3 linked regions of the Sus scrofa genome follow. The protein of the gene in region 2 binds, or shares a complex with, the protein of the main gene of each other region. Links are inferred from orthologs where the notes say so. Each region holds a gene or a part of one and is shown on either strand. Other genes may lie near its edges.

Region 1 (3,750 bases), on a different chromosome or scaffold from region 2:
GAACCCTATAGAGTCATTCAACAGTCTTCCCAGTTTCTAGTTCATTTAATGAATGAATGATTGAATTGAGCTTCCCAACAACCTTGCAGGGTACAAGGTTACTAAGGAAAGTAGTCTTGTTTACGGTTTTAGCCACTAAGCCTAGGCTTGGGCAATTCACAGAAACTTGAGCTGATATTCTTACTTGTCAGATGGAAGAACAAATACACTGGCATTCTCTTCATGGCTCAGTGGTTAACAAGCCTGACTAGGAACCATGAGGATATGGGTTCAATCTGTGGCCTAGCTCAGTGGGTTAAGGATCCGGCGTTGCCGTGAGCTGTGGTGTAGGTCGCAGACACAGCTCAGATCCTGAGTTGCTGTGGCTGTGGCGTAGGCCAACAGCTGTAGCTCTGGTTTGACCCCTAGCCTGGGAACTTCCATATGCCATGGGTGCTGTCCTAAAGAAAAAAAACCAAAAGAACAAATACACTATTAATAATTCCTAAATCTCATCAGTAGTTTCCAGCTTATTCATTTACTCAAAAAATACTATGTGTCAGGCACTGTTCTAGACATTGAGAAAACAGTGTTGAACAAAATAAACAATGTAGGTTGTATTCTAGCAGGAGGGAGGGACAGAAAGGAGGGAGGGATGGCAGAAACAAGTATAAGGTATAGATGGTGGTGGTACGTACCATGGAGAAAACCAAACAGCAATGTGTTAGTGAGTACCCAGGTATGCAATTTAAAACAGGTTGGTCAGGAAAACCTTCATGGAAAAAGCGATATTTGAGCAGAGACTTGGAGGAGCTGAGTGTGTAAACCAGGTGGACATTTGGAAAAAGAACACTCCAGTAGTGGGAAAAGAAAATGCAAAGGCTTTGTGTGTGGTAGGAGCATAGAAGCCAATGTGACTGGAGTAAGGTGAGCAATGGAAAATTGGTAGATCAGAGAGGTCAAGGGAAAGAGGGCAAAAGGTTGTTAGGATTTTAGTTTTACTCTGAGTGAAGCGAAAAGCCATGGCATGTTTTCAGCAGAGGTTAACATGATTTGATGTTTAGAAGGATTCCTCCGGCTGCTGGACTGAGAATAGAATGAGCATCTGAGAAAAGAAACAGGAATGCCATCAGGATCCTACAGCAGGAATACTAGGTGAGAGAATAACAGCTTAGATCAGGAGGTAGTGATGGAGATATTTAGAAGTGGTAACAAATCTGGGTTTATTTTAAGGATGGTGCCAGCAAAGATTTGCTGACAGCCTGATTGAGGAGTTTCAGGAGGGGACATATATTCTTCAGCTAAGCCTAATAGAGCAGAAGGAGAGATGTCATCCATCACTACCTCTATCTTATAAGAACTCTAGTTAAAAGCCTGGATTCTGATTTTAAAATCGGTTTCTATCACTTATTAGAGAAGTTTGTTTCCCCATCTACAAAATGGGACAATTAACAATTCCTACCTCTTAGGCAGTGACCAAGATTAATGGAGTTTTCATATACAAAACACTTAGTACATGGCTCAATAAGTGTTACCTATTCTTCAGTTGTTAATACTAGTGCAGAGAAAGAGTTTTCCCCAAAGCAAGTTGCCCCAAGTCCCAAAGCGAGCTAGTATCGTTCATTTCCTTCCTTTCTTTCTTCCTTCATTCATCCATCCACTCTTTCAACTTTCCTGAACGTTTATTCTATGCTGGATCCCTGGAAGATTTAGGATGCGAAAGCCCGGGGCCCAGTTTTAAGATCCCTCACTAATTCTAACGCCCCCTCACAGGGCCATCGAGACGCTGAAACGTCAAACGGGGAAACGTAGCATCGCAGGGTGTTGACCGCTTTAACAGGTTTTTCTGCTCTAACTCCCTGGTGTGAGTCCCGTTCCGCCCCCGCAGTGCAGGGAAAGGGCCGGTACGGGATCTCACGGTGGAGCACTGAGGAGACAGGAAGATGAGCTGAGGGCCGAAGGCCATCTGCTCGTTTACTCACCGCTTGCAGCAAAGCTCCCGGCGCCGCCTGCTGCTGCCCGGCTCCCGGGCCCGACCCCGCCGCTCCCAAAAGCAATTCATGCCGCTGCCGCTTGACTGGGACCAGAGGCAACTCTGGGCCCTTGCGCTTCTGCTGTTCTATCATGGCGGCAACCGCTCTCCTCAGGCCGCCACTGACCGCGCCGACACCCTCAGGGAGCGCACGATTGGCTCCGACTTAGTCTTTCCCTTAGAACTTCCGGCTTGGAGAAACCAATCGGCTTCCAATACTCCCCTCTGCACCGCCCCCTGGGGAGTCTCCAGTTATTGGGCAACTCATTCTGATGTCACTAGAGTACGATTCCAGGATTGGTGGAACGAGCTGGAGTCCCGCCTCGGCGCGCTGGGTCTTGTGGGTGGAAGCGCGCTGACTGGGTTCTGGCGTTTCGCGCAATGCTGCGGCGGGGAGACCTGACGCTAACTCCGAGTAAGTGTTGGGGGTGGGTGGCTGCGGAATCTGGAGGCGGCGCCTCCGTTGTGTGGTCTGAAGCTGGCCTCTCTCAGCCCAGGGTTGATCGCAGAGGGCAGAGGGGGCCCCTGAGTTCCTAGCTCTTGGTGTATGGTGGCCTGGGTTCCCTTTCTAGGTTGGAGCAGAGCAGTGGGGTCTCTGCGCCTGCCTGGGGCCCTCGACGGCTGCTTTCTTTAACAAGCGCCTTCTGTGTCGAGCCCTGTGCCAGGTGCTCCTTGGGAGAAAAGGTCAGTTTCCCAGCCTCCACCAGGGTCGTCTCAGACTTTGGAGGCCGACTTCTTTCTGCCGTGATACTGCAGCCTTTTACCAGCGCCTGCTCTGTGCCCCTGAGAGAGAGAGAGGGAGAGAGAGAGAGAGATGAAGGAAATGTCCGACTCTTGGTCTCCAGAGCACAGTCTTGGCTGAGAAATTCAGACTCATACTTGTGAAGTAGGTTTTCTCCTTAATCGTTCAACTGATATTTATGGTGCAAAGCTTTGAGGAGACATTGTGAACCAAACATGGTCCCTGACCTCAGGGCTTTGAGTCCGATGGGAAAAACAGATGCTCAACAATGATCTTTATAGGGAATGCAAAGTAAGTGCTGCCAGGGAAAGGTACCTGGTGTTTTGAGTGCCAGAAATAAGCCGGAAGACTTGTCTAACAAAAAGATGCCTGAACCTATGCCTGAAGGAAGAATTCTAATTAGTTGGGGGAAGAGAGGAGGGCAGAATATTCCATATAGAACAGCATGTGCAGAGGCCCAATGGCAAATGAGAGGAAAATGACTAAAAGGTACAAAGAGGCCAGTGTTGCCAGGACAAAGAGAATAAAGGGGAGTGTGGTACAAGATGAAGCTGGAGGCAAGTGGAAGCCAGACTGTGTAGGAATTTGTAGCTTTTCTTTAAGACTGATGGGAAATCACTGAGGTTTTATTTTGTATTTTGCAGTGGAGAAGGTGGTGTGATGGAGGAGGCAGCTTGGTCCTTCTGGCTCAGTAGTTTGAATAGATTGGAGGGGAGATAAATGCAAATAGACCGCTGAGGTGAGAGTTGTTAGCAATGAAGACTATAGAGTGTTGGTGGAACTGAGAGGTAGATATTTTCTAGACTCCTTTGCACCTAAGATGAGAATTGAATTGGAAGGGAAAGGAGGAGGGTGAGAGGCATCCTCCTTTGCTGGCAAATACCATAGTAGAGGCAGTGGGTTTCTTAGTCACCAGCTTTTTGGTGTTGTGACTTTCTGCAATGATGGCCATAACTTTTTTTTTTGGTCTCTTTTTTAGGGCCTCACCCAAGGCATA
Region 2 (3,750 bases):
TGAATGGTACTTCTTATTTCAGACACTAAACAATAAAAGTGACAGGCAATGGACTGGACCATGGGGTCAAAAGTTAGGATGAGGGAGGCATTACCCGCTTCTGCTGCTCCAAAAGCTCATGTTCCTTCAGTGAATGATCCCCCTGCTTAAAAGAGAAAACAAGCTCATTTCAGCACCAAAATCCCACAGGCCAGTCGGCCCCAACTCTGCTCCCAGCCAGGGCCCAAGTTCTAGTCTTTGGTCCAGACCTTCCCAGAAGCCTTAGGCCCCAGGATCCGGCTCCCTCTGAGGCTCCACTTCCCATTCAGGACCCTGATGAGCCCCAGGCTCAGGCTGCTACCTGCTTGGCACGTTCCTCTTGCTGCATCAGCAATGCCGCCTGCTGCTGCGCCAGCTTTAACCGCTCTTCCTCGGACAGTGCCACAGGTTCACCCACTCGGAGAGGAGGAGGGGGGCCCAAGTTTGGAGGGCGGGGTCCAACTGCCATGGGAAAGCCAAGGCCAAGGCCAGGTGGAGGTGGTGGGGGTGGTGGAGGAGGCTGTAGAGGGGGGAGTCCCATGGGCGGGGGTGGCATGGGAATCCCAGAGAGCTGTGGGGGAAAAAAAAATGACCATTAACTGGAGGCACTGATCTACTACAAATACTTGCTGGGGAACTACAATGAGCCAGGTGCTGGGATTCAAAGTCAAACGACACACAGTTCTTGCATTCAAGAAAAAGACTACTCTTGGAGTTCCCATCGTGGCTCAGAGATTAACAAACCCGACTAGCATCCATGAGGACACAGGTTCGATCCCTGGCCTCACTCAGTGGGTTAAGAATTTGGTGTTGCCAGGCGCTGTGGTGTAGGTCAAAGATGTGGCTCGGATCTGGCATTGCTGTGGCTGTGGTGTAGTTGACAGCTGCAGCTCCAATTTGACCCCTAGCCTGGGAACCTTCATATGCTGCAGGTGTGGCCCTAAAAAGACAGAGACAGAAAAAAAAAAAAAAGGAAAAAAAAAAAAAACAAAAAACACTCCATAGCCACATCAAGAAAGGAGAATTCGGGAGTTCACATTGTGGTTTACCAGTTAAAAAACCGATCAATATCCATGAGGACTCGGGTTCAATCCCTGGCCTTTCTCAGTGGGTTAAGGAGCTGGCATTGCTGCAGGTCATAGATTTAGCTCAGATCCAGAGTTGCTGCGGCTGTGGTGTAGGCAGGCAGCTACACCTCCAATTCCACCCCTAGCCTGGGACCTTCCATATGCCACGGGTGTGGCCCTAAAAAAAAAAAGGAAGGAAGGAAATAAAGAAAGAAAAGACAAGAAAAGAAAAGAAAGAAAGGAATCAAATCAGGGAGGAAGCCCTAATTTGTCACTGAATAACATGGGAACAGTGTGCTGGGACAGCAAAAAAAGAGGTTAATTACTTCTACCTGGAGGAGGATGGGACGATCAAATTAGGCTTACAGATATTTAAGTTGAACTTTGAAGGACCTGTAGGATTTGGAGGAGCTGTCACAGCAAAGGAAGCAAAGATGAGGACCAAGGGAGAACTGAAGAGTTCCCAATTCTGTCATCACAGTACCACCCAAACTGCTGGTTGCAACCTCCAAACACACACTCCATATGAGAGGAGGGGCTACTCTGGGCAAAAAGGGATCCTAACAAGTGGGAAGACCGCCCTACCTGGGCTGACATAGGAGGGGGAGCAGCTTTGTCCCCATCTTCACCTCTCAGAACAGGCCGACTCAGGACGATGCCAGTCTGCGAAAGAGAAAGGGCTCCAGGTCAGTCCAAAAGGAGCTAGCTGTTCCGCTAAACAATGTTCGCTCGTGTCCGTTCGACAAAATTTACCCAGGGTCTGTCTGCCAGAGCTCAGACGGGGTTCTGGGGGGGGACCAGCATGTACAGAAACGATTACAACAAAGAAGACAAGAAGAGACAAAAAGAGCAAGACCTCACTCGCTGTACCGAGATACATCAAGAACGAAGAACGAAGCGTGAGGGATCACGAACCGCCTCCTCCAAAAGCTCGGCCTATCCTGACATCCCACCAACACTTACCTGGCGGGTGTAGGTCTGCAGCCTTTCCACCAGCTCCTCGCGACTCCCTGCTGGGCAAAGCACAGGATCAACGGGGTAAGGCAGGCGGAGCAGGCCCAAGTCAAGCCCCCGCCCCCCCCAACTCTTCCGCCCCCGGGTCTCCGGGGTAACCAGCTCCGCTTCCCCGCGGGCCTACACTTTCCGGCCCTTGACCACCCGTGCTCCTCACCCTGGATTGGAGCGCCGATCTCCGCTAATTTGGCCTGAAGCTCCTGAGCAGCCCAGGCACCATAATGCCCAGGAGGCGGCGGCGGCGGCAGCTGCAACTCTCCTTTCGGAGGCTCGGGATGCTCGGCCGCCATCTTAGCCGCAGGAAGGCGCGCGACCCACCCGGAAGCTCGGGCCGGCCTCCCGGCCCGCTTCCCGGAACTTCCGGCAGCGCCATACGCCACGTCCGCTCGAGGCTGGTTAGGCGGACCACCCTCTGCGATTCGTCAATGGTCCCTAGGCGGCCTGGCCGCGAAGCCTTCTGGGAGTTGTAGTGCGCAGATCACGGTCTTTGCGGGCTCAACAGGATAGGGCCTCTGGGAGGAGGGTGGTCCGTCGCAGTACCGGGAACGCTGGGGGCCGGAGCCGGGGTGGGACTGTGGGGACCGCTGGTCCGGAGCGGAGGATGTGCTTTCTGCGTCTCGCTGACCGCTGCGCAGACCTCCCCGCCTCCGGCCCGACTCCAGCTCAGGCGGGAGAGGCCCAGGCGCAGACGTTCCCGAGGACTCATTCCCCGGGCGGCCGCGCGCTGTGGGCGCCGGGCGGGAGGTTGCAGCCGATGCCTGGGATAAAACAGTGTCTGATTGTCTGCCCGCCCACTCCCGGCCCAGGCTTGGATGAATGGCCTGAAAGGGAATCGGAGCCGGAATGGAGCGGGCCCTCCGGGCTGAGCTCCAACTGCCGACCTGGGGGAAGGGCCACACTAAAGACCCTTTTTCCACCTTCCCGGCTAGCTCAAATGTCATCTCCTAGCTCAAATGTCATCTCCGCTGAGCCATCTCCTGCCGCCTTCCTTTCCTGCTCTGGAGCTTCCATAACACGTCCAAACCTCCGTCATTTGTTTTAAAGTCTTTCTTGCCCCTTATCCACACTTCCAACCCCAAAGAAATGAGTCTTGGAGTTCCCATTACGCCTCAGCAGGTTACGAACCTGACTAGGATCCCTGAGGATGCGGGTTCGATCCAGGCCTCGCTCAGTGGGTTAAGGATCCAGCGTTGCCATGAGCTGTGGCAGCTCAGATCTGGTGTGGCTGTGGCACAGGCCAGCAGCTGCAGCTTCGATCTGACCCCTAGCATGGGAATTTTCATATGCTGCAGGTTCAGCCCTAAAAAGTAAAAAAAAAAAAAAAAAAAAAAAAAAGGCATGAATCCTTTTTACTGTCTCACAGTACCTGGCGTTAAAGAGGCGCTTAATTGGAGTTCCCTTCATGGCACAGTGGTTGACGAATCCAACCAGGAACCATGAGGTTGCGGGTTTGATCCCTGGCCTTGCTCAGTGGGTTAAGGAGCTGTGGCATAGGTCGCAGACGTGGCTCAGATCCTATGTTGCTGTGGCTCTGGCGTAGGCCAGTGGCTACAGCTCCAATTAGACTGGGAACTTCCATATGCTGCGGGTGTGGCCCTAGAAAAGACCGGAAAAAAAAAAAAAAAAGAATCGTCTTTATGGCGACAGGATA
Region 3 (3,650 bases), on a different chromosome or scaffold from region 2:
TGTGAATAACTCAGTGAATCAAGATTTTCCAAATGACCAATACGACATGTTACAAAATCATGCATTGGTAAAAGATCCATTCAAAGTGACAGGCCAATGGATTTTCATGTTAACAAGTATGAAAATTCAAGGACATTATTTCAGGTTTCATAATGCAATTAAATTTTTAAGAAACTAATAGCTATTAAATATTAACTGGCATAGTATTAAGGAGGGATACACTCAATTATAGCTCTGAAAAGGCTATTAAAATACTCCTCCCTTTCTAACTACATTTCTGTGTGAGGCTAAATTTCCTTCATATATTTTAATAAAAACAACTAATTGCAACAGATTGAAATCAGGAACGATATGAGAATCCAACTGTTTCCTATTAAGCCAGACATTAAACTGTACAAAATATAAAACATGCCATTCTTCTTTTTAAATTTGTTTTTTAAAGTAGTTTTTGTCATAAAAATATGTAATATGCGAATATGTTATTATTATTTTGAAATGATTTAATTTTTTATATTTCCAGTTTTAATTTTTAATAAGTGTCAACAGATATAAATCCATATAAATAAAAACTCTTCGGAATCCTCAGTAATTTTCAAGAGCATAAAGATATCTTGAGACCAGAGAGTTTAAGAAGTGCTATTGTAAAGAAAAGTACTGCTTTCCTGGTATCGGCCAAAGAGGCTAAAAATGGGTGGGGAATTCCCAAGTTAAAAAAAAAAAAATTACGCCAGCTATAACAAGAATTCCATAAAATCATTTAGCATTTTTTAGAGATACTATAGAAAAAGAAGTTAATAAAAGAAAAAAGTGGGTGTAAGGGTTTCTCCATGTTTGGAAACCAGATTTTTAAGAGAAAAATGAATCTGGCTGTTGCAATGAAATGCCCTAGGAAAACAGCATCTAAGGAGAGATGTACCAGATATTGTACCAGGTTTTGGGGATAACATATAGAAATGGGGAGTTCCTTACACCGTTACTTTCCTTTTCAACATTCCAGTTCTAAGCATGACTAAAGCATGGAACGCAGCAACGACAGATTTCTAGGTCTCTGCTCTCTCTTCCTAGAAGCTTTCAGAGCCATAAGTATTTGCCAGGTAAAATTACAACTCAAGGGAAATAAATCTATAAAATTATTATATAAATACATGAAGTAATATAAATAATTACATAATAGAATAAAAGCAATGATATAAGTACCTCTGAATATTAGCTCTGGAAGAAAAATAATGACACATATGAAAAAAATAGTATCAGTGTCTAAATACATGCTCTGTGGCAATACAAAGCACTGTATTTTATTTATTCTTACACAAACATGTAACATTTACCCTTACATCAAACAAGTAACTTGTTCTAGGTCGCTTAGCTAGTAATGGCAAAAACAAAATACAAACCAATGTCTGTACAAAGCTAGTGCTTACAATATACTAATGACGTACAAATGATAATAATTAATTATCTACTGAGCACCGATTCTGTATCTAGCACTGTGATTGATTTTAGAAAGATACCAACCTGTCATAAGAAATAATTTAAATAGAGAACTTTATGAAAACATATAGCACTTAACTGCATATTAAATTGGGTGGCAATTTAAGCAGTAATTTTTAAATGGCAGTGAAGTTAAAGATTACTGGTAAAACATGAATATTTCTTAAGAAGGACAAAACTTAAAAGAGTTGTATAATTTAAACAGAGACAAAGAGGAGAGGAAAAATGAGTTAATTTAGAATGAATACCATAGATGAGCACTAGACTAACACATGGGTAAACACTGACAAGAACAGCTTCTCAAGAACAAAAATTTCAAGAGGTAGGGGTCTGTGATCTATAACTTTCTATCAGTACTATATAATTACATAAATTGCTTCTACTTATCCAAAATAAATTATTTTGTAAATTTCTACATACCCTTCTTAATAGCTTTGTACTTCTCTTCATTTTCCATAAAATTAGGGTCCATCTTGAAAACATCTTAAAAAAGAAAGAAGTTAATTAGTGTTTATTTTCAATATTTATATTCGTTTGTACTAAACTTCCCAACACCCACTCCTAACTTACTAAGAACGTCTTCTGGATTATAGTCATCTTCCAGAGGGAGCATGTGAGTGAACTGATCATCTTCTTCCACTAAGTCAAGTCCTTCTAGGATAACAGGGTGGTCCTTGAATCCATCCTTCCGTACAGCAAACATCACTTCAATCATATACTGAACTCTCTTGTCAATTTCAGACTCATGAAGAATGTTTCGAAGGCGTTCAAATATCGCTAAAGTTAAACAGAAAGATTGTACAATAAGCAATAAACATTGTGACACTCAAACGAAAGCTCAATAGCAAACCAAGAATATATACTTACCATTGATTCCTCGTGGTGACACTTGTGTTAACTTGAGACCACATTCCTTGAGAAAACCAATAGCTACTTCAACACTGTCATCTGTTGGTCTTTCCAGGAGCAAAGTGAGCATTTCTAAGCATAAAACTTCATGAGCCTTAAATAGATTTAAGACAGACAGAATGGACAAAATGATTTTACATATATTAATCTACTACTGAGAGTAACTTTAAAAATTATAAATCTACTTTTTGCAGTGATAATAAGCAAAATCTTATAATATACATAAAATTTCTCCAAATATCGGATACAATTTTTCTTTCACTTCCATTATGCATCCATTAACATTTCCTGATGCTTTTCCCCAAAATCTTAACTTACTGCACTGAATACAACTATTTGATTTATCTCCAGAAGAAATATTCTTCCTAAACTCTCTATATAAGAAATGTTATCTATAAGAAATGCCAAAATTAACCTCAAAATGTTAAAAAATAATTTACTAATTTTTAATCAGAGGTATTTTCATAATCACTATATGAAGAACAGTAATACAATTCCTTTTTATAGTATCTTTCTTCATGACCATAACTCTAAATCCATTTCCCAACTGATTCTATCAGCAACTTTGTTAGCAAACAGATGAATACTAATTTTCTCAGAAAATATCTTTCCAGTAGTTTGTAGCATGCAATGACAGTTTTGAACACTTTTTTAAAAAAATTAAATCAAACTCAACTAACTATGGTCAAATTTTGGATTTCATAAAACAATGCCAGTTAAAGAGGGAATAAAAGTCTATTGGTAAGTTTTGCTATAAATGAAAATGAACTTGGGAATTCCTACTATGGCACAGTGGGTTAAAAATCTGACTGCAGTGGCTTGGTTCACTGCAGAGGCACAGGTTCAATTCCCTAGCCTGGTGCAATGGGTTAAAAGGATCTATGTTACTGCAGCTGCTCTGTAGGTGGGAGCTAAGCTCAGATTTAATCCCTGGCCTGGGAACTACTGTATGCTGTGGGTGTGGCCATAAAATTTTTAAAAAATAAAGAAAATGAACTTACAAAGCATGTTCAAAACACTATACACTAGCTTTTTAAAATCGGACTCTTTTTTGAGATGGAGAGAGATGAAGTCTAAATTTCAACTCAGGAAAATATCCTCTTCACATTTTGCACCACATTAAAAACACATACTACTGGAGTTTCCACCATGGCTCAGTGGAAATGAATCTGACTAGTATCCATGAGGACACAGGTTTGATCCCTGGCCTCGCTCAGTGGGTTAAGAATCCAGCATTGCTGTGAGCTGTG

The links.
Region 1: SF3B2 (region 2) and SNRNP40 share a complex: the UniProt entries of both Homo sapiens proteins name them as parts of the minor spliceosome. The link is inferred for Sus scrofa from reciprocal best matches to the Homo sapiens genes SF3B2 and SNRNP40.
Region 3: SF3B2 (region 2) and CWC22 share a complex: the UniProt entries of both Homo sapiens proteins name them as parts of the minor spliceosome. The link is inferred for Sus scrofa from reciprocal best matches to the Homo sapiens genes SF3B2 and CWC22.

What each region holds. Positions count from the first base shown.
Region 1 is NC_010448.4:87,877,436-87,881,185, forward strand, and holds the start of SNRNP40 (U5 small nuclear ribonucleoprotein 40 kDa protein), read right to left. Parts: upstream 2,189-3,750; 5' UTR 2,106-2,188; coding exon 1,962-2,105; intron 1-1,961. UniProt on the Homo sapiens protein: Required for pre-mRNA splicing as component of the activated spliceosome. Component of the U5 small nuclear ribonucleoprotein (snRNP) complex and the U4/U6-U5 tri-snRNP complex, building blocks of the spliceosome.
Region 2 is NC_010444.4:6,291,207-6,294,956, forward strand, and holds the start of SF3B2 (splicing factor 3B subunit 2), read right to left. Parts: upstream 2,445-3,750; 5' UTR 2,390-2,444; coding exon 2,257-2,389; intron 2,099-2,256; coding exon 2,049-2,098; intron 1,749-2,048; coding exon 1,671-1,748; intron 590-1,670; coding exon 341-589; intron 146-340; coding exon 95-145; intron 1-94. UniProt on the Homo sapiens protein: Component of the 17S U2 SnRNP complex of the spliceosome, a large ribonucleoprotein complex that removes introns from transcribed pre-mRNAs.
Region 3 is NC_010457.5:85,564,231-85,567,880, forward strand, and holds part of CWC22 (pre-mRNA-splicing factor CWC22 homolog), read right to left. Parts: intron 2,495-3,650; coding exon 2,359-2,494; intron 2,269-2,358; coding exon 2,062-2,268; intron 1,975-2,061; coding exon 1,912-1,974; intron 1-1,911. UniProt on the Homo sapiens protein: Required for pre-mRNA splicing as component of the spliceosome. As a component of the minor spliceosome, involved in the splicing of U12-type introns in pre-mRNAs. Promotes exon-junction complex (EJC) assembly.